6 linked regions of the Macaca fascicularis genome follow. The protein of the gene in region 2 purifies or fractionates together with the protein of the main gene of each other region. This does not show direct contact. Links are inferred from orthologs where the notes say so. Each region holds a gene or a part of one and is shown on either strand. Other genes may lie near its edges. The genes, in order: HERC5, ISG15, VCP, ENO1, HSPB1 and FLNB.

Evidence for each region.
Region 1: the proteins of ISG15 (region 2) and HERC5 purify together in Homo sapiens (affinity purification with western blotting; 3 studies listed by BioGRID, with this or other methods). This does not show direct contact. The link is inferred for Macaca fascicularis from reciprocal best matches to the Homo sapiens genes ISG15 and HERC5.
Region 3: the proteins of ISG15 (region 2) and VCP purify together in Homo sapiens (affinity purification with mass spectrometry, with the first as the bait; 3 studies listed by BioGRID). This does not show direct contact. The link is inferred for Macaca fascicularis from reciprocal best matches to the Homo sapiens genes ISG15 and VCP.
Region 4: the proteins of ISG15 (region 2) and ENO1 purify together in Homo sapiens (affinity purification with mass spectrometry; 4 studies listed by BioGRID, with this or other methods). This does not show direct contact. The link is inferred for Macaca fascicularis from reciprocal best matches to the Homo sapiens genes ISG15 and ENO1.
Region 5: the proteins of ISG15 (region 2) and HSPB1 purify together in Homo sapiens (affinity purification with mass spectrometry; 3 studies listed by BioGRID, with this or other methods). This does not show direct contact. The link is inferred for Macaca fascicularis from reciprocal best matches to the Homo sapiens genes ISG15 and HSPB1.
Region 6: the proteins of ISG15 (region 2) and FLNB purify together in Homo sapiens (affinity purification with mass spectrometry; 3 studies listed by BioGRID and IntAct, with this or other methods). This does not show direct contact. The link is inferred for Macaca fascicularis from reciprocal best matches to the Homo sapiens genes ISG15 and FLNB.

What each region holds. Positions count from the first base shown.
Region 1 is NC_088379.1:94,019,177-94,022,676, reverse strand, and holds part of HERC5 (E3 ISG15--protein ligase HERC5), read right to left. Parts: intron 2,720-3,500; coding exon 2,660-2,719; intron 746-2,659; coding exon 652-745; intron 1-651.
Region 2 is NC_088375.1:233,759,445-233,762,219, forward strand, and holds ISG15 (ubiquitin-like protein ISG15), read right to left. Parts: upstream 1,646-2,775; 5' UTR 1,576-1,645; coding exon 1,573-1,575; intron 1,490-1,572; exon of another isoform or gene 1,475-1,489; coding exon of another isoform or gene 1,472-1,474; intron 1,055-1,471; coding exon 560-1,054; 3' UTR 501-559; downstream 1-500.
Region 3 is NC_088389.1:64,363,425-64,366,924, reverse strand, and holds part of VCP (transitional endoplasmic reticulum ATPase), read right to left. Parts: intron 2,252-3,500; coding exon 2,140-2,251; intron 1,943-2,139; coding exon 1,770-1,942; intron 699-1,769; coding exon 556-698; intron 1-555. UniProt on the Homo sapiens protein: Necessary for the fragmentation of Golgi stacks during mitosis and for their reassembly after mitosis. Involved in the formation of the transitional endoplasmic reticulum (tER).
Region 4 is NC_088375.1:225,981,552-225,985,533, reverse strand, and holds the start of ENO1 (alpha-enolase), read right to left. Parts: upstream 2,801-3,982; 5' UTR 2,566-2,800; intron 2,209-2,565; exon of another isoform or gene 2,089-2,208; intron 1-2,088. UniProt on the Homo sapiens protein: Glycolytic enzyme the catalyzes the conversion of 2-phosphoglycerate to phosphoenolpyruvate. In addition to glycolysis, involved in various processes such as growth control, hypoxia tolerance and allergic responses.
Region 5 is NC_088377.1:51,430,815-51,434,197, forward strand, and holds HSPB1 (heat shock protein beta-1), read right to left. Parts: upstream 2,104-3,383; 5' UTR 2,064-2,103; coding exon 1,700-2,063; intron 996-1,699; coding exon 932-995; intron 814-931; coding exon 624-813; 3' UTR 501-623; downstream 1-500. UniProt on the Homo sapiens protein: Small heat shock protein which functions as a molecular chaperone probably maintaining denatured proteins in a folding-competent state. Plays a role in stress resistance and actin organization.
Region 6 is NC_088376.1:121,080,937-121,084,995, reverse strand, and holds the start of FLNB (filamin-B), read right to left. Parts: upstream 2,801-4,059; 5' UTR 2,658-2,800; coding exon 2,366-2,657; intron 1-2,365. UniProt on the Homo sapiens protein: Connects cell membrane constituents to the actin cytoskeleton. May promote orthogonal branching of actin filaments and links actin filaments to membrane glycoproteins. Anchors various transmembrane proteins to the actin cytoskeleton.

The sequences.
Region 1 (3,500 bases), on a different chromosome or scaffold from region 2:
GTGAGCCGAGATTGTGCCACTGCACTCCAGTGTGGGCGACAGAGCGAGACTCCATCTCCAAAAAAATAAAAATAAAAATAAAGGAAGCATGTTCGGAGCACCTGCAAGAAAAAAACCCTAAAGATAGTACTAACAGTGCTGAAACAGGAAGCAATCATCCCATAAAGAACAAGAACATTCTAGAATCTACAGAAAAGTGGAATGGAAAAAAAAAAACAAAGAATCCAGGCAGTCCCTGGTGAGAAGGATATTCATATCAGAAAAAATGTTCTTATTTCTACATTTACGCTTAAAAGGATTGCACATAAAATGTTCTTATTCTAGTGTGCCAATCTCAACAAATCCTTAATCATCTTCCTAAAGCCCTGAGTTGAAAAACCTCCCTCCCTCTAGGAATGTGTATGCATATATGTGCATGTGTGTTTGTGTACAGACACATTATTTAGAATATTTGTAACCTGTGTGACTACTATGCCAATTATTTCACCCTAAAAGGGCAAACTCCTAATTGTTATCTGAGTTTAACTTAATCTGAATATGCTACAAGGTCTCGGAGAATCCCTTAACACAAAACATTTCTTCTGAAATTTCGAGTTCTTATAAGAAATATTCTGGTCTATTTTCTTTCTCCACATAACAATCTGAAGATACCATGTTAGTAATCCAGTCCTTTTGGGTTAACTCCTTGAAGATGTTTCTTGCTTTATTTAAGTCCAAATAAACAGGCATCATTTCTGTAGTTCTTCTGTAGAAGATAAATTAAGTATCTTGTTAGATTATCTCTCTAGATGCAAAGTTTCTTCCAGAGCTTGCCCCATTTCAACAAAATTACATTTTTTCTCATGTATAACTATAATTGTCTAAATACAAATGCAATGTAGTAAACAACATGATTTTTTCTAAAATACCAAAAAATATCAAGGCTGCTTTAACTATATATACCATAAGACTTTAACTCAGATGCTGTCTTATCTGTAATAGATTAAAAAAAATAAATATTTCTCAGTTTAAAAAAAATAGCCACAGAGGGAGGCTGAGACAGGAGAATTGCTCGAGCTTGAGAGGTCAAGGCTGCAGTGAGTTGTGAACATGCCACTGTACTCCAGCCTGGGTGACAGAGCGAGACCCTGCCTCAGAAAGGAAGGAAAGGAAGGAAAGGAAGGAAAGGAAGGAAAGGAAGGAAAGGAAGGAAAGGAAGGAAAGGAAGGAAAGGAAGGAAAGGAAGGAAGGAAGGAAGGAAGGAAGGAAGGAAGGAAGGAAGGAAGGAAGGAAGGAAGGAAGGAAGGGAGGGAGGGAAGGAAGGGAGGGAGGGACGAAGGGTGGGCCATAGAAAAAAGATAAATGTTTTTCGAAGGAACGAAGGAAGGACCAACCACAGGAAGGAAGGACCAACCACAGGAAGGAAGGACGGAAGGAAGGAAGGACGAAAGGACGGAAGGAAGGAAGGAGCTCCACAGAAAAAAGATAAAGGTTTTTCCCATTTCTAAAAAATACATCCATTTTTTCCAGTTAAATGGACTGAAAAGTGGGAACCAAAAGAGGGAGCTTCTGACCAATAATTTCTTAGTACTTCAATATAAAGTCATTAATGAAATGTTTAAGTATCTTCTCATGGAAGACCTTCTAATGGAAGGTCATGAGGCCATTAAAATTATGTTACCGGCTGCGTGTGGTAGCTCACACCTATAATCTCAACACTGGGAGGCTGAGGTGGGAGGACTGCTTGAGGCCAGGAGTTCAAGACCAGCCTGGGCAACATAGCAAAGCTGCTGTCTTTACAAAAGTTAAAAAATTAGCAGGAGATGGTGGCACATGCCTGTAGTCCCAGCTACGTGGAAGGCTAAGGTGGGAGTATTGCTTGAGCCCAAGAGTTTGATGATGCTTAAGCCCAAGAACCATGATGCTGTAACTCCAGGAGACCTTGTCTCAAAAAAAAAAAAAATACATATATATATATATATATACACACACACACACACACACACACACATATATGTATACCAAAAAAGATAGAACAAAATGTAAAATGGGCAAACATTAAGTATAAAACAACGTATAAACAATGTGATCCAGCTGGGCATGGTGGCTTACGCCTGAAATCCCAGCACTTGGGGAGGCCAAGGCTGGTAAATTGCCTGAGTTCAGGAGTTCGAAACCAGCCTGGCCAACATGGTAAAACTCTGGCTCTACAAAAAAATAAAAAAATTAGCTGTGTGTAGTGCCATATGTCTGAAGCCCCAGCTACTCAGGCTGAGGTGGGAGGATTGCTACAGCCTGGGAGGCGAAGGTTACAATGAGCCAAGATCACACAACTGCATTCCAGCATGGGCAACGACAGGGTAACACCCTGTCTCAAAAAACAAAAACAAAAAACCAGTATGATCTCATTTTTTGTAAAAGAATACATTTGCATGAAAAAATAATATACATAAGTGCTAGCTATTACTCTTATGTGATGGATTATGGAAGATTTTCACTTTCTTTTTATTGTATGTATTTTTGACATTTTCTACAGCAAGCATATATTTACTTTTGTTAAAAAACAATTTTTAGAAAGGGACGAACACACAGCTAATTATTTTACCCTCCAATCATTTTTTATCCTCTTTCATGGTACTCTTAATACAATTTAATACAATTAATTTATTACATATATTACCTTTTCCTTAAAAAACTTCCAGTTAGACAAGCAGGAGATGAAAATATCTCTTGGATTTCCCTGTATTAGTAATAAGACACTGGTTAAACCAAATCACATGGTATACATACACACAGCCTCTTTATAGCATGAAACATGATAAATACAACATCTTATAACAATCCTTCTAACCTCTCCATTTGTCTCCTATCTGTACGCATATTATCTTGGCTTCCAAAAGTCCATTCTGTTTGGTAAATCTCAAAATTTCAGTGGCAAACATGGGAAATAAAAAAGTTTATACATACTAAGAGAAGCCTCAAATAAAGAGGAAAGGCTTGATTTATGGTCAGAACTTTCTTGAACAAACAAAATACTCCTACCCCACCAACTATGCAAGTCCTATTTATTTCTATTCCATTGAAGTAGAAACAAAATAAATTACCAGAAATTAAATGGGGGAAGAAGTATGCTGAGTTTCATCTTAGCAGTAGTTGTACAGTTCTTAATTATTTATGCTTGCAAATTATGATGCAATTATTTTGTGCAACCATTTTGTACAATCATTTTCCAGAATTAGAAAGTCATACTTTAAAATATTTCTAAAAGATGATGTTTGTAAGAATAGGCAGGAGTTCTATAAGACTGTAGGAGTTCTATGGTTTAGAGAAGAATGGTACAAATTGTTTGGCTAAGAATAACAGGAACACAAACTAATGGTTCCAGTATCGAATGGGACTGGGGAACACTATAGACTGTATTTTCTGGCCAGAGAGTCACAATATACATAAACAGAGGCCTGGAGAAGCCCTGCAGTAAAGAAAGCTGTCCTCATGGAGCTTACATGCTAGTTGTGATAGTT
Region 2 (2,775 bases):
CGCCCAGCCCAGGCAGGTGGAGCAGGCTGTGCAGGCTGGGCTAGGGACAGCTGAGGCCCCCAGCCCCCAGTTCCTATGGAGAGCCTGCCTCACAGCCCACTGGGCAGGCCCCAAGGACTCACCCCTCACCGCTTCCAGGGGCCCACTGGGAGCCTCCCCCGTAGCCTTTTGATTTGAGCAGGCTGGTCCCTGCCTAAGCTGTCTGCTGTCCCAGATGGAGGATGGGCAGGATGGGCTCCAGCAACTGTGTCTCTTTTTCTTTCCCTAGAAGTTAATTTCCCAAAGGGTGGGGAGAGCTGTCTTACTTCAGTTTGGTAGGGAGGAAGCTCCGTATTTTGATCCCTCGAGGCTGTAACTGCAAACCCTTATCCTTTCACTTGGCAACCAGGCCTGGTCACCAGGATGGACCCTGGGATCTCCCTCCTGACTCCTCCCGCCACTTCACTAGGGGTCTGAGGCGGACGCTGGAGGAGGGTCATGTGCAGACACAGAGGCAGCCATTTCTCTTTACAACATTTATTTCCAGCCCTTGATCTTGCTCGAATGCTGGTGGAGGCCCTTAGCTCTGCCCGCCAGGCTCTGTGCCGCCTCCCCGCAGGCGCAGATTCATGAACACGGTGCTCAGGGGCTTGAGGCCGTACTCCCCCAGCGGGAGCTGATTCTCCAGGGGCTTCCCCTCGAAGGTCAGCCAGAACAGGTCGTCCTGCACACCCTCCTGCCGGCTCACTTGCTGCTTCAGGTGGGCCACAGTCTGCGTCAGCTGTACCTCGTAGGTGCTGCTCCGGCCCTTGTCGTTCCTCACCAGGATGCTCAGAGGTTCATCGCACTTGTCCACCACCAGCAGGACCGTGCTGCCGGGGCCCAGGCCCTGGTTGGCAAGGGGAACCCTGTCCTGCAGGGTGGCGCCGCTGGGGTGGACAGCCAGACGCTGCTGGAAGGCGTGCACGCCGATCTTCTGGGCGATCTTTGCCTTCAGCTCTGACACCGACATGGAGTTGCTCAGGGACACCTGGAACTCGTTGCCCCCCAGCATCTTCACCTTCAGGTCCCAGCTCTGCAGACATTACACAGGCTCAGAGGCTGCCGCACCAGTCCCAGGCCCACGACACACAAGGCCCTGGCTGCTGGGCGAGCTCCTGTGCCCAGGGACAGTGCTTCCTCCTGTTTGTCCTCTACATCCCATCAGCAGGGACCCCAGGCACAGAAGGCACTGAGGGGTCATTACTAGAAGGCCAGCTGCCCACAGCCATCCGTGGCCTCCCTTTACCTGCTAGGGTGCCCCTCTGTGCCCACCCTGAGGATCTCAGGGGTGACCTGCTTTCAGGAGCACACTTAGAACCTGGCCGAGCTCTAAGCAGCTCTGCTCTCCCTGCAACCCTGGGAGACCTTGGCTGGGGGAGGGAGCTGAAAATTGACTGGCACAGAGGCCTGCCCCCCCCCCCCGAGCCCCCACCTGTGACATCTCCCTTACCATGGCTGTGGGCTGTGGGCCACGGGTTGGGGGAGACAAAAATTGACTGGCACAGAGGCCCCCCCCACCCAACACACACACACCTGTGACATCTCCCTTACCATGGCTGTGGGCTGTGGGACGCGGCACGAGCTCCTGTACTGGCAAAGATGAGTTCACTGCCTCTCAACTGCCGGCTCCTGCAGGCAGCAGCCAGCCCTGTTATAAGCCTGAGCCACACACGTCAGGGGGCGTTGCCGCGCGAGCCTGCTCCGGTGGCCAAGTTTCGGTTTCCTTTTCCCCAGGCATGCCCCAGAGTGAGCAGAAGAAACAAAACAGAATGGCCGAAAGACGGGGAAAAGCAGAAGGGGGTGGGCAGGGTCTCAAAGGCACTGTCAGGGCCGGGGACTCAGGACGGCGGACGGCATCCCCACCCCCACCCAACACCCTGGAAACACCTAAATATCGAGCATTCCAGGTCCTTCACAAGATGCACTAAAGCTGGTTGAATGCCGTGGCTCACTCCTGTAATCCCAGCACTTTGGGAGGCCGAGGTGGGCGGATCACCTGAGGTCGGGAGTTTGAGAGCAGCCTGACCCACACAGAGAAACCCCGTTTCTACTAAAAATACAAAATTAGCCAGGTTTGGTGGCGCATGCCTGTAATCCCAGCCACTTGGGAAGGTTGAGGCAGGAGAATCGCTTGAACCTGGGAGGTGGAGGTTGCGGTGAGCCGAGATCGCGCCATTGCGCTCCAGCCTGGGCAACAAGAGTGAAACTGTTAAAAAAAAAAAAAATGCGCTAAAGCCTTCACATGAACGAATGGTTTCATTTTCCATTTACCAACTTGCAAACAGTAAACATGGAAAACACCTCTATGGTTAATTCAGAAACAAAACCTCCAAACTCCCCAGAGATGACAACACTTGGTTTAGGGCAGTATTTGCCCAGGTTTGGTGTTTTTTGTTGTTTTTGTTTTTTTGAGACAGGGTCTCACTCTGTCGCCCAGGCTGGAGTGCAGAGGTGCAATCTCAGCTCACCGCAGCCTCCACCTCCCTGGCTAAAGGGATCCCCTTACGTCAGCCTCCCACGTAGCTGGGACCACAGGGGTCCGGCTACTTTTTTGTATTTTTAGTAGAGATGGGGGTCTCCCCATGTTGCCCAGGCTGGTCTCGAACTCCTGGGCTCAAGTGATCCACCTGCCTCGGCCTCTGCAAGTGCTGGGATTACAGGTGTGAGCCACTGCGCCTGGGCCTCAGACTGTTTTTTAATAAAAGAGACCTATCTTGTATTTTCTACAAAAATGAACTCTGGGACACTACTGAG
Region 3 (3,500 bases), on a different chromosome or scaffold from region 2:
GACTCTGTCTCAAATAAAAAAAAAAGAAAAGAAAATGAGACTAGGCATGACGGCTCATGCCTGTAATCCCAGCACTTTGGGAGGCCATGGCAGGTGGGTCACTTGAGCCCAGCAGTTTGAGACCAGCGTGGGCATCATAGTGAGACCCCATTTCTTTTTTTTTTTTGAGACAGAGTCTTGCTCTGTCACCCAGGCTGGAGTACAGTGGCCTGGTCTTGGCTCACTGCAACCTCCACCTCTTGGGTTCAAGCAATTCTTGTGCCTCAGCCCCTCAGGTCGTTGGGATTACAGGTGCCCACAATGCGGTTTTGCCATGTTGGCCAGGCTGGTCTCGAACTCCTGGCCTCAAGTGATCCACCCGCCTCAGCCTCCCAAATCGCTGGGGTTATAGGTGTGAGCCACGGTGCCCAGCTGACCCCATCTCTTAAAAAATAAATAAATAAATACAGGAGAAAAGCATAAAAGATTAAAAAAAAAAGAAAGAAAACGAGACGAAGATGTTCCAAGGTTTATTAACTACAGTCAATAATCCTTAAACTCAGAATTAGCTCTCACCTTTCCGGATGGGTCGATAAGCTTCCAGGAAGTACGGCTTAAGGTATACCTCAAAGAGATTACCAGTAATGCCTTCCACCGTGTCATCAATGGGCAGCACGTGGATACGTTTGCCGTACTTCACATCAGGGCATGGCTGGATGCTGAGGATGACAAGCAGACTCCATATTACCAACCACACTTCGGGCCCAAGCACTGGGTGTCCAAAAGGGCCTGGCACAGATAGCTGATAGTAAGTGAAAAAGAAAAGGCAGGATGGCTTTAGGTGAAGAGAGGAAGGAGAACACCGTGGAAGTGAGGGCAAAGGAACAGCCCCACTCACTTCTAATCAGTGAGCCAAAATCAAGAGCCACACATTTAGAAACCCCACAAAGATATGCAAGGTCTTCAGTGAGATATCCAAGGATGATCCCCTTCTAGCTAATATTGGTGACCCAATATTACAAGGGAAGGTCTTAAGCTAACAACTGTCAGGGTCAGTGAAACAGAAGTGAAAAAAACAAAATTATCTCAGCCAGGTGTTCAGAACACCTTGAGGAAGTGACTAAGCACCCCCAAGAAGAAAGCTACATGAAACTTAGACTCCATCAAAAAGAATCAAAAGCCTGAGATGATCCTGGCCAGGTGATGGTTGGTTGGGTAAGAGTGGCTAGAGATGACTCCAAGATGGGGCAACCTCTTGCCTAAAATTATGCAAGAACAAGCAAAATCACTCACATTGAGAACTATCCTGGGTCTGGCTCCAACTATTCCTCTCTCCCGGGTTCACTTAGGGGCTTAAAAGGCCTGCTAGCAGCTCACCTTCCATGTCCATATCCCCACCTCATTCCAACCCCAACGCAAGCCATTAATTGGACATACTAGTGAGAGTAGTGAGGAGGTTATTTGGCAGATACATACACACCCTCGAGTGGTATCCTAAGCTAGGCTATAAGTATGATAAATTACACTTCTAGTAGGAAAAAATAAAGGCACCAAGAAAGTTACAGGAATGCCAATTTGTCTCAAGCGACCTGCAGAAATGGATTTTGAAGTCCCAGGAAGGCAGAACCAAAACCTAAAGACAATCCTGAAGCATAAGTCTTCCCATGACCAGCAGGCTTCCTGCATCGACAGGTTCCAAGAACTTGGTCCTGCCTGTAATACATGGGTACTGCCTGTAATGCAGGCTATCTCTGGCCTCCCATCCCTGTGGAGCCAAAAACCCCACACACCTGATGACATCCCCTAGGCGTACACGAAGGTTATTCCGAACAACTCTATTCATCCGAATCTTCTCATCAGAACAAGTGTCATCAGAAAGGACGATGCAAACAGCTTCTCGTCTCTTCTTTCCTTTCAGCAACACTGTGTCACCTCGGAACAACTGCAATTCATCCATCTTGGGCTGAGGAAAGAAAGTTAAGGCCTTTGGGTCACTGGGCAGAAGGGGAGTAAGCAACAGCCCTCGAGATTGGGATTCCCAGTAAACCCCACTCTATCTGCAGTCTGCAAATAGAAATATCTGCAAAATGAGAAAAGAAACCTGGGCAAATCCCTCAAGTAAGTGCAGTAAGGAAAGACTAGTTTGTGGCCCCAGCTTACCTGGGACAAGGACACCACACTGTTGTCCTCATTGATGGCTTCATCAACAATTAACCGATTGGGACGGTTCTTCTGTTTGAGAATGGCTGTTGATAGGTCATCACCTTTTGAACTAGAAGCAGGAAATGGAGTCAGTCCCAGTAGATACTCCCGCCCCAAGGGCCTCACCAGTCTCTAAAACTCATACTTAGGAAACAAACAGTGAATAGATGAAGCTGTCCCTAGACCAGAGAGCGCGGATGAAGGAAAGGCAGCCAAGGTCACGAGGAGCAGTATCTAGCATACATATTACAATACCCATTCCGGCAGCTCCTGGTATTTTGAGCATCAGTGTCCCAGCTATAAGGCTCCAAGTGAGTGATCCTGCCCCAAGAAGACATAATAGAAATGGAGACTGAAGAGTTATTAGAGAAATAAAAATAGTCTTAGACTTATAGAAGAGTGGTTAAGAGCAGGAACTCTATAATAGTCAGACCCATTGGGTCTGAATTCCAATTCTGCCACTACTTAACTGTGATCTTGGGCAAGTTACCTAACCTCTGAACTTTGATGTCTTCCTCTATAAGAGAGAGACTATAATACTTACCTCAGAGGCTTATTGTCTTAAGGGAGATAATGAATGTAAAATGCTTAACATAATAGCTGGCACATGGTAATAACAGTCACCATGATTAACAGTATAAAGCATAAGCTAACTTTCCAGGGAATGAAGTAAGCCAGACAATTTCCCTTGAGGCTCAGGGAGCTCTCAAGTCCTACCAAGCAAGCCTGGGGACAATGAAGCAGAATTATTGGTGCTACCCTCCTTATAGGCTAAACCTACTGATGCCAGGGCATTCCATAGTACCAAAGGAATGCCAAGCATAAAAATCATCATATGGTTTCCATCATATTTGGAAACAACACTAACAGACATGAAACTGCCAGAAAGAGGCTCAAGGTCAAAAGGAACTTCACAGTAATTTCTGCAAAAGCACACAATTCCATAAAGTTGGCTCAAAAAACCAAAACCAAGAAATGCTGAAACACTGTGCAAATACAAATCCCTCTCATCCAAATCAAAGTTGACTGGGTCTATACTCAGTTTGTTATTTCCTACAAGACAGGGTCATTCACCAGACAGTGACACCAACTTATTACCTAGCCCATCTCCAGCTGTCACTTAGTAGACTCAAGTTCTCTCTCTCTCTCTTTTTTTTTTTTTTCTTGAGATGGAGTTTCGCTCTTGTTGTACAGGCTGGAATGCAATGAAGGGATCTCAGCTAACTGCAACCTCTGCTCCGCCTCCCAGGTTCAAGTGATTCTCCCGCCTCAGCCTTCCCAGTAGCTGGGATTACAGGCATGAGCCACCACGCCCAGCT
Region 4 (3,982 bases), about 7.8 Mb from region 2:
AAGAACAGACATGAAGGTCACAAGCAAAACCACCTAGGGCGAGGCCAAAAAGAGGGTGGGGGGATGAGGGGAAAATCTGGCTTGTAGCAGAATTAAAACAAAATAGCGAATTAAGTTTGGACATAATTCTTCTGATTAAATTTGAAGTAGCAGCACAATATTCACTTAGTAGGTATTTAATAATCAGAAATTCTGAGTTTGGAAGTCAGGAATAATAAAGTCCTTGGACCATGAGATCTTGGCTACCGCCACTTCCTGGGACTTTCCAATTTCACAGTACTCCGGACTTCAGTATTGTTATGTCATTAATGACAACATCTTTATTTTAATTACTTTTTTAAGAGATGGGGGTCTCACTATGTTGCCCAGGTTGGTGTCAAACTCCTGGGTTCAAGTGATCCTCCCCTGCCTTGGCCTCCCAAAGCATGCTAGGATGATTATAGGGGTGAGCCACCAGGAGCAGCCAATAAGACATCTAAGTTTGGGCAGATTTTTAACTTGCAAAATTATTTACTGAAGTCACTTCTGTGGCTTTGTTGTCTACGTAACAATGGAGTTTTATTCATTAGCCAAGAAAAAGGTACTTAGTTTTTATCTATTAGGTTCCAAAAAGGCAAATTTGTTTAAACATATTTAAGTTGGCCAGGCGCGGTGGCTCAAGCCTGTAATCCCAGCACTTTGGGAGGCCGAGACGGGCGGATCGCGAGGTCAGGAGATCGAGACCATCCTGGTTAACACGGTGAAACCCCGTCTCTACTAAAAAATACGAAAAACTAGCCGGGGGAGGCCAAGACGGGTGGATCACGAGGTCAGGAGATGGAGACCATCCTGGCTAACACGGTGAAACCCCGTCTCTACTAAAAAATACAAAAAACTAGCCGGGCGAAGTGGCGGGCGCCTGTAGTCCCAGCTACTCCGGAGGCTGAGGCAGGAGAATGGCGTGAACCCGGGAGGCGGAGCTTGCAGTGAGCTGAGATCCGGCCACTGCACTCCAGCCTGGGCGACAGAGCAAGAGCGAGACTCCGTTTCAAAAAAAAAAAAAAAAAAAAAAATCCTTCTTGGCCGGGTGCGGTGGCTCACGCCTGTAATCCCAGCACTTTGGGAGGCCGAAGCGGGCGGATCACCTGAGGTCGGGAGTTGAAGACCAGCCTGACCAACATGGTGAAACACCGCCTCTAATTAAAAAAAAAAAAAAATATATATACACACACACACACACACACACACACACACACACACAAAATTAGCCGGGCGTGGTGGCGTATGCCTGTAATCCCAGCTACTCGGGAGGCTGAGGTAGGCGAATCGCTTGAACCCAGGAGGCGGAGGTTGCAGTGAGCCGAGGAGATCAGGCCATTGCACTCCAGCCTGGGAAACAAGAGCAAAAAAAAAAAAAGGAAATCCTTCTCAGATCAGGGCCCGACGTCTGATGGCCAGCCGGGGAGCCGCTCTTGCCCAACTTGGGCGAGGTCGCCTGGAGGGCTTGCCAATGATCTAACGGCTCTGCGGCAGATTCCTCAAGAAGAGGTGCCTTCTCGAAATGAGTCACCGCTTACTGGGCCGAAGCGCGGGCCGCGAGTGCAGGCGAGAGGCGGGGGCTGCCGGTGGGGGAGGGGGTTGCAGCCTCGTGGGCATCTCCTCTCTCGCCGCCCTCCTCCATTTTAGGGAGGGCCTGGCCTCAGTGGGCACCACCGCTATGTCTGCGTCCATCCCAAAAACCTTACACTTGGCTACGATGGAAAAGCAACTTCCACTCCCAACTCCCGCTGTGCTAAGCGGCTCGCGTGTGCAGCTCCCGACCTTCCCCGACGGTGATCCTGCCCCGCAGTCTGTAATCACGTGTTGATCTGCACTTTCCCCTCCAAAGAAATCGGGACCCAGCACGTGCACCTCGCATTGTGCCCCCGTCCCGGGCCTCGGGGTGAGCGGGGGTGCCACTTCCCACCCAGGGAGTCGGCTCGCACGCGCCCCCGACCCCGCCACGCCGGGCCTGTTGGCGCGCAGCCTCCCTCTGAGGGGAAAGAGCCCCGCAAGCCCAGAAAAGCCCTGCGCCGCCTGCCCGTTGCTCAGCCCTTCCCTAATCGTTACCTAGCCGCTGGGTCTCGTGGCCTAGGAGAAGAAGCGGCGGGTGCAGCAGACACCGAGGTGAGTGTGAAGCCGGTGAGGTCTGCGAGGTCTATGCGCTCCGGCTCCCCACACCTACTGTCCGCGCCGCACTCGGACTTCCTGCCCAGCTAAGGCGGGCCCCACCCACTTCCCGCCTTCCAGACACGCCTCCTCAGGGCCGCCTCGCCATTGGTCGGGAAAGCCGTCACTCGTGCTCTCACCTCCCGGAAAGGGGTGAGACTGCGGCGGCTGCAGCCGGGAAAGGGGGGGTGACGACCCGCGGACGTGAGGCGGGCGGAGTTAGGGTGCCCCGACTACCCAGCGGCCCTGTGGTGGTGCGAGCGAAACTCTAGCCCCAGATAGGACCCGTAAGCCGAACTGAGGTGTGCGGAGCCGGGGCCCCGGGTGAGAGCCCGGGGCGGCGTGGCGGGCATGAGAGCTCGGGGCTCCGTCACGTACTGCGAGTCCCGCACGCACTCAGCGTCGCTCCGGGGCCGCGCGTCCGGCCCTCGACCTTGCTGACGACTTTGGCAGCCCGCGCCTGCCCCGGCCCTCCTGCCCCGCCCCTCTTGTCCTGCGCCGCGATCCGGGAGACCCCGTTGGCGTCGAGTCGTTGAGAGGCTACGCGCCTCGGCCCCACTCCGGCGTTGTGTCGCGGGCCGGGCCGCAGCGGTGCGCCTCCGGGGCCACGTGCGCCGCCTGCGCCTGCGCGCTGCCCCCCAGCCGCGCCCGTCCGGCCGGGCTCCGCCTGGCACCCGCCAAGGTGACCCTGTCCCTTTCTCCTTGCTGCGGTGAGAATCAGGCCGAAATAGCCAAAGGAAGGTTCACTTTCCTTTATTTCTACCTCATTTTTCTTGAGTGCCTCCTAGGTGTCTGGCGCGCCACCACCTGCTTCCCCAGTGTTAATTCATTCTCTAGCCCATGTTAATGTTGCATCTGAAATTTCACATCCCCCTCAGTCCCATCTAGGGAACTAGATCAAACCTACCTGGATTCTTGTGAACCATTCATGTAAATTATTTGGAACTGGAATTTCACATAGACCCGGGGAATTTCTCAAAGTTCAAGACGGGTCATATTCCATGGAATATGGAAGGAGTTGGTGGAGTGATTTCACCTTTTTGATCGAGAACTGATAGCCATTAAAACTCAGCTCCGCAATAGATCCCCCCGACTCCAAGGGAGGGCTGAAATGATCACTTCGTTTTCTGTTACGGTGACTTTTATATTTTTCAACATTATTGCTGGTCACTAAGAGAACTAAAACATCTCCTGATTTTCCTCATTTCCTTGCAAAGAGATGTTCAAATATGTACTTGAATTTAATTATTTCTTCTGGTCCGCTGCAAAAACTACTTTTCTTTCTTAACCCCTAGCGTTTTTGTCCTCTTAGCTACTGGCAGGTTTCCATGGCGTAGGTTAAAAGTGAAGGCCTACTAAGTACATAGTATTTGCTTTCCAGTGGGTAAGAAGCAAGAACTTTAGGATTAAATTCAGCAAAATGATAATAATAATAATAAAATTTTGCAAGCAGAGTTTGTGATTTCACCAGCAATACACTAACGTTTTTGGCTACTGAAAACCACTATCTCCAGCCCCATGACTCAGCAGCTAAATCAGCCAACATCTCCTGCTGTTAAGGACTCTAAGAAATCAGGCACTTGGTACTCTTACTTTCAGAGCAGTTCTAAGGCGTGGCCCTGAAAGGGCTCCAAACAATCTTATTTTACATTAAAATGGTTAGAGAGATAAAGATACTCTGCTGTGGCCAGAACCAGTAAATCTAGCAGGAAATGAGAGGCAGAACATGATCCCAGACTGCTGCTGTTGCAAGATTCTTGGAGGCTGCAGCACCACATTCTCAGCCGGCACTTCG
Region 5 (3,383 bases), on a different chromosome or scaffold from region 2:
AAGACAGGGTCTCACTCTTTCTGAGCTTTTGATTGTTTTGTTTTTTTGAAACAGGATCTTGCTCTGTTGTCCAGGCTGGAGTGCAATGGCACGATCTTAGCTCACTGCACCCTTCAACTCCTGGGCTCAAGCGATCCTCCTGCCTCAGCCTCCTGAGTAGCTGGGACTACAGGCATGCAGTAACACCCTGGCTAATTTTTATTTTTTAGAGACAGAGTCTCACTACATTGTCCAGACTGGTCTAGAATTCTTGACTTCAAGCACTTCTCCTGCCTCAACCCCCCAAAGGGCTGGGATTACAGGTATGAGCCACTGCGCCCGGCCCTACGACCTCTCTTTATGTGAGTCAGCCCGTGTCCAGCAACCTACATCAGTGTACCAACATGGCCCAGCACGGGGCTGGGCACACAGTACACCCTGAGTAAAGGTGACTTGTGGAAGCCAGCAAATGGCAGGTGCCTGAGGCTTCCTTCCACAAATACCAGGGTCTGAGCCAGTGACAGGTGGGTTACTTGGAACTTTATTTGAGAAAAACAAGATAAACGTATCAAAAGAACACACAGGTTGAGGGTGGGGGGGCGCAGCCAGTGGCGGCAGCAGGGGTGGGCATCCGGGCTAAGGCTTTACTTGGCGGCAGTCTCGTCAGATTTTGCAGCTTCTGGGCCCCCAAGCTGGGCCCGCGACTCGAAAGTGACCGGGATGGTGATCTCGTTGGACTGTGTGGCTAGCTTGGGCATGGGGGCTTCCACGGTCAGTGTGCCCTCAGGGGACAGGGAGGAGGAGACCTGGGTGGGGTCCACACCGGGGGGCAGCCTGGACGTGCAGAGAGAGAAGGCGAGCGTTACATTACACACTGGGTGGGTCCCTGTGCCCTCCTCCCTGACCCCCGCCCCCCGCCCCCCACCCACCCCGATCTGGCGCCAGGACTCACGTGTATTTCCGCGTGAAGCACCGGGAGATGTAGCCATGCTCGTCCTGCCGCTCCTCGTGCTTGCCTTTTGGGGAAAGAGGGAAATCAGACTATGGGGGAGGGGACCGCCTCTCGGCCCCGCCAGGCCAGAGGCCCCACCTCCTGCTTGGAAGCAGCTAGGACTGCAGGCCGGCAGGGATTAACGGAGGGGGTTGGGGGTGGGGGCGTGCCCGCCTGTCCGGGTTCTCAGAAACTTCCGGAAAGTTCCTCGATTCAGAGTTTTGGGAGGAATGGAGCAGGGCGCCGAGCTGGGGAGTGAGCAGTGCCCAGGCGCACTTGGAGCCGCACGCACGCCCTCTCCGCGGCTAGAAACAGGGAACCCGCTTATCTGGGGATGGGGTTGTGGGTGGGGAGGGGGCTCTGTGGAAAGGTGCATTTTCTCTCTTCATTGATGGTCTTTTAAAAAATTTTTTTGGTTGCTTTTTAATTTTTTTGTAGTGTTGGGGGGCGTCTCGCTATGTTGCCCGGGCTAGTCTTGAACTCCTGGCCTCAAGCCATCCTCCCGTCTCGGCCTTCCAAAGCGCTGGGATTACAGAGCACAAAGCGCCCTTAGAAGCGACCTGCACTCCCAATTCCTGAGCAGAGGAATCAGGGATCCTGTTTTTCCCGGTGCTGGGCTAACATTTAACTCCCCAGGCCCCCGGGACCCCCGTTTCAACCGCACCCCTCCCCCGGCCCTGCCCGCCCCGCTAGCCTCCTCCCCTCCTCTGCAGGACCAGGGGGACTCACCGGTGATCTCCACCACGCCATCCTTGGTCTTAACCGTTAGCTCGTCCGGGGCGAAGTGGTTGACATCCAGGGACACGCGCCAGCGGTCCGCCGTGTGCCGGATCTCCGAGACCCCGCTGCTGAGCTGCCGGCTGAGCGCGCGGCTGTAGGCGGGCGCGGCCACCGCGGGGCTCTCGATCGCGGCGGGGGGCAGGGGGCGCACGTAGCCTGGCCAGCTGCTGCCGCCCAACCACTGCGACCACTCCTCGGGCAGCCGGGGCAGCCCGAAGGCCTGGTCGAAGAGGCGGCTGTGCGGGTACCAGTCGCGGAAGGGATCCCAGCTGGGGCCCCGCAGGAGCGAGAAGGGGACGCGGCGCTCGGTCATGCTGGCTGACTCTGCTCTGGACGTCTGCTCGGAGAAGTGCGGGGCGCTGGGCCCGGCTGCGCTTTTATGCGGTTCCAGTCGGGTATTTTTAGCAGGCGGTGTTTGAGGTCTCTATTAATGGCAATGACCCGTTTGAGGGCCGCCCCTCCCCATGCACTCCTCCCCTAGCGTTCAGGGGCCGTGGGCGGGGCGAAGAGGGTTCTGCCCTCATCTGGAACCTTCTCTCGTTAAGGAAAACAAATGAGTTCGAGAGCTCGAAGCTGGAGCCGTGCCACGGCAGGGCACTCGCCGGCCCTGGTGCTTAAGAGCTGCCGACTGTGACCCGTGGCCAGGGCCGTTCTTTTGTTAAGGAGGACAGAGCCAGGCAGGTTGGGTTGGGGCATACAACTGAGAAGTGGCAGCGGCAGGATTGGAATCACAAGCGTGTGAGATGGAATGTGATATAAAGCAGGCTGGTGCTTGAGCCCAGGAGTTCGAGGCTGCAGTGCGTTATGATCTTACCACTGCACTCTAGCCTAGGCAACAGAGCAAGGACCTGTTAAAAAAATTTTTAAAAAGGGGCCGGGTGCGTGGCTCATGCCTGTAATCTCAGCACTTTGGGAGGCCAAGGCAGAAGGGTCCCCTGAGGCCAGGAGTTTGAGACCATTCTGGGCAACATAGTGAGACCCTACCTCTACCAAAATTTTTTTTAAAATTAGCTGGGCATGGTGTGCACGCCTGTGGCCTCAGCTACTCTGGAGGCTGAGGCAGCAGGCTCCTTTGAACGCTGGTGAGCTCCTTTGAACGCTGGTGAGTAGAGGCTTTGGTGAACCTGGATTGCACCACTGCACTTCAGCATGGGCTGCAGAGCAAAACCCTGTCTCAAAATAAGTAAATGAATAAATACAAATACAAAGATAAAGCAGTCTGGGCTGGGTGTGGTGGCTCACCCCTGTAATCCCAGCACTTTGGGAGGCTGAGGTGGGAGGATCACCAGAGGTCAGGAGTTTGGGACCAGCCTGGCCAACATGGTGAAACCTCATCTCTACTAAAATTACAAAAATTAGCTGGGTGTGGTGGCGGGCGCCTGTAATCGCAGCTGCTGGGGAGGCTGAGGCAGGAGAATTGCTTGAACCCCGAAGGCAGAGGTTGCGGTGAACTGAGATCTCACCACTGCACTCCAGCCTGGGCGGCAGAGCGAGACTCCATCTCAAAAAAAAAAAAAAAAAACAATCTGGTAATCTGGTACGGTTGTTAGGAGTGTGGACTTTGAAGCCAGACTGCCTGAATTCACATCTTGGTTCTGTCACTAAGCAGATGAACTTGTGCAAGTTAGATTCT
Region 6 (4,059 bases), on a different chromosome or scaffold from region 2:
CATACCTGTAACCCCAGCACTTGGGAGGCCGAGGCGGGTGGGTCATGAGGTCAAGAGTTCGAGACCAGTCCGGCCACCATGCTGAAACCCCATCTCTCCTAAGAATATAAAAATTAGCCGGGTGTGGTGGCGCGTGCCTGTATTTCCAGTTACTCAGGAGGCTGAGGCAGAAGAATCGCTTGAACCCGGGAGGTGGAGGTTGCAGTGAGCGGAGATGGCACCATTGTACTCCAGCCTGGAGACAGAGCAAGGCTCCATCTTGGGGCGGGGTGGTAGGGAGTAGGGGGAGCAGGGAATCAGGAGAACCAAGTAAAAAAATGTAAGCGACCAGACAAAATCTAGAATGAGACCCACAGCCCCAGGCACTGATGACAGACAGTGCTGGAAGTAGCTGCTGCCTTTGTAAACAGTTGGTAGATCAGGCAGTCTGTGATTTGCTAGTGCTGCGGTTTGGTTTGGTTTGGTTGTTGTTTTAGAGATTTCATGTCATATCTGGATACTTCTGGTTTACTTTAAGTTTCTTTATTCAGTTAATTAAATAAATACACATTTTTAAAACAAAGAACAGATCCAAGTTGGGCCCAGCTGGGCCTTGCGATTCTTCAGAGGGGAGGCTGGTTTCTGAATGGTAAAGAATTCCAGAAGATTCTGAGGTTATCCCTCCCCAGTACAGGAGATGGACCCCAGGAAGAAGACAACGGCATGGCATGTGGGTTTTTCTGCCTGGAAGCCACCCTTGGGGAGGGGGAGGGCTGCTGGAGATCGGCTGGGTGGTGCCGCTGGGCTGGGTGGTGCGGCTGCCCAGGAAGCAGGAAGCAGCCCTACCTGCCAGGACAGGTGTGGGGGAAGGGAAGGGTGAGGCCCTGAGGCCTAGGGGAGGCTCAGCCTAGAGGGAATCCCTTTTCCACTGGAGAAAGTCCTGGCAGCCACACCCATCTCCCTTTCTTCCTGTCACTAGGGTCACTATAGTGACCTGCTTTCCTCAGGAAAAGACCCAAGTCACAAGCCAGGGCCAGTCCCTGGTTCTCCTTAGGAAGAGATCCAGACCCAGGACCCTCTCCCGCCCAAACCCACCCACCCACACACACACACACACACACACACACACACACACACAGGCGGATACACATTCTCTGCATACAAACATACTCTGCACACCCATTCCGTGTACACACAAACTCTCTTTGCATATGCACATGCTATACATACATGCTATGTGTGTACACACATTCTCTGCACACATGTCCACATGCACACACACATACTACAAACTCCTTGCCCCTACTGTCACGGCCCACACTCTCAGCCGCCTTGTGGCCCTCCTGGAAGCGCCCAACTATCTCAGACCACAAGGGAGACTTCATCCTTATTCTTCCTCCCCAGTCCAGGGGGCCCAGTCCAGCAAGAGACACCAATTCCCTCCCTCCTTTCAGGAAGACCCTGGTGTGGGTTTGGGAGGGGAGAGGAAAACAAAGCCTTCTTCTAACTGTCGCCCACTTCCTTCAATTCTCAGCTGGGCCCTACTTGCTGACCTTGGACAAGTCAACTAACCCTCTGGACCCTCTTATCTCTAAAACGGGTCTAGCCTCACCCCAGCTCGCAGGATGTGTAGGGACGGAGATAACTTAGAAGGCTGACAGTACACAGAGGACGCTAGTTGGGCTCCCTACAAGACAGCAATTACTGTTACCACCACCATCCCTACATTGTAACTTCGGCAGCAAGGAGTGGGTTCAACCTGCGGCGCGGCCAGAGCTGAGCTGGGAGCAGACGGAGCCAGGACACACACCCGCGCCTCCCCTGGCAACCTCGGGGCCCACACCCATTCCAGCGACAGCAGGGGAAGGTACCAAGTCTCTGTCTCCACCTGGGCGGGGAGGCCCCAGGCGCAGAGAACGGTTCCTCCCCAGGTCTCATGGCCCGGCCTCCGAGCCAACGCCCATTCAGCTGCCGCAGAGAGCACCAACCTGGGCGCAGCCGGGCGAGCGCTCCGGAGAGCATCTGACTCTAGGGCCCCGCCCCCGGGGATGGCGAACGAGGGTTTCTAGTCCCCTAGCTCCCATAGGGGCGCCCCAGGTGCAGAGAAATGCCACAACTCCACCTCTCCTCCTGTGACCCCAGTCCAAACCCTCAACCCTTAGCCAGCCAAAGGTGCACTGCTGGGGCGCACGGCGGGGAGCGATCCCAACAGGTCCCAGCCCAGAGGAGGGCACCGGGGAGGGGGGTCTAGGCCCCCTATATCCCACCCCCGGGGACGACTCCCAGGTGGGGGTGCGCTGCGGGAAGTCCTCGCCCTCCGCAGGGGTGCACGCGCGGGGGCGGGTCGGCACCACAGTCGGCGCCTGGGCCTGGCCAGAGAACTCACCGATGGACACGAGCTTGATGCTCTCACGGTCCAGGAACTCGAGCGCCACGGACACATTCTCGAGCTGCATCTGGCGAAAGGTGGGCCGCTGATGGTACTTGCGGTACATGCGCTTCTGGCTGAGCACCTCGAGCAGCGCGATGAGCCGCAGCCCGTCGCTCAGGTCGGTCTGCAGGTTGCCGATGCGTTTGTTCACGCACTTGAGGTGCTCATTGCACCAGCGTGTGAAAGTGTTCTGCTGTATCTTCTTCCAAGGCGCGTCCTCCGCCAGATCCTTCTCGGTTACCGGCATCCTGGTGGCGGGGAGAACGCAATGCGCAACGAGCTGCCGGGGACTGGTGTTTGGAGGCCCAAGGGCCGAAGTGGCGAGAACCGAAGCGGAGCGGGAGCGGGGTTCGAACTTGCTGCTACCGGAGCCACGGCCGGTGCTGCTCTGCGGCCGCCCGCCTCTGGCCGCGCGAGGCGCCTGGCCCCGCGCCTGCGCGCTGAGCCGCCCCGCCCCTAAGCCCCGCCCCGTACCGACCCTCCCGCGGGATTTCCTGGGCCACGCTCGCCCCCTGCCGCCTGCTGCAGGCACTGCGCCTCACGGCGTCCTGGGACCCGCGCTCGAAGCCCACCACCCCAGCAGGACGTAGGGCTGCCTAAATCACCCCGTCAGCCCTGGGGTGGGGGGACTCGCGGGGACTGGGAGCCGGACAGAATGGGTCGGGCAGCAGTGGGACTTGCGGGAGGGGCGCGCAGAGCGGAGGTCTACATCCACATATACATTCAATAAAATTCAGTGAGGGCTTTTATTGAGCTCCACTTGTGTACCAGGCATTCTTCTCAGAGCCTGCCAACCAGTAGTAAATCAGACAAACGTATTGCACAACTTCAAGGAGTTCACAGCCTAATGGGAGAGAAAAGTGTAAATCCACCATCACCAACAGCCCAGTAGTGTGGTAAAAATGAACAATAAGGCTTGCTACCTGTCTTAGGTTCCAGTTACTGCTGTAACAAGTTACCAAAACTTAGTGTCTTTGAAAACACACATGCACAAATGTATTATTGTTAAGTTCTGTAGGTTCGATGGCCCACATGGGTCTCGCTTAGCTAAATTGGCAAGATGCATTCCCTTCTGGAGGCTGTAGGGAAGAATCTGTTTCCTTGCCTTTTCTAACTTCCAGAAGCTGCCTGCGTGCCTGACTCCTGCCCCTTTTCTCTGTGAAAGCCTGCAATGGGCTGGGCACAGCGGCTCACGCCTGTAATCCCAGCACTTTGGGAGGCCAAGGTAGGTGGATCACCTGAGGTCAGGAGTTGGAAACCAACCTGGCCAGCATGGTAAAACCCCATCTCTACTTAAAATACAAAAATTAGCCAGGTGTGGTGGCACGTACCTGTAATCCCAACTACTGGGAAGGCTGAGATAGGAGAATCGCTTGAACCTAGGAGGCGGAGGTTGCAGTGAGCTGAGATGATGCCATTGCACTCCAGCCTGGGTGACAGAGCAAAACTCCGTCTCAAAAAAAAAAAAAAAAAGAAAAGAAAAGAAAGCCCGCTATGTCAGGTAGAGTCTCTCACACAGTCCTCTCTCCATAGGTGTATCTTCCTCTTTTATTTTTTTTTCTGCGACGGAGTCTCGCTCTGTTGCCCAGACTGGAGTCCAGTGGTGCAATCTCGACTCAGTGCAACCTCCTCCTGGGTTCAAGTGATTC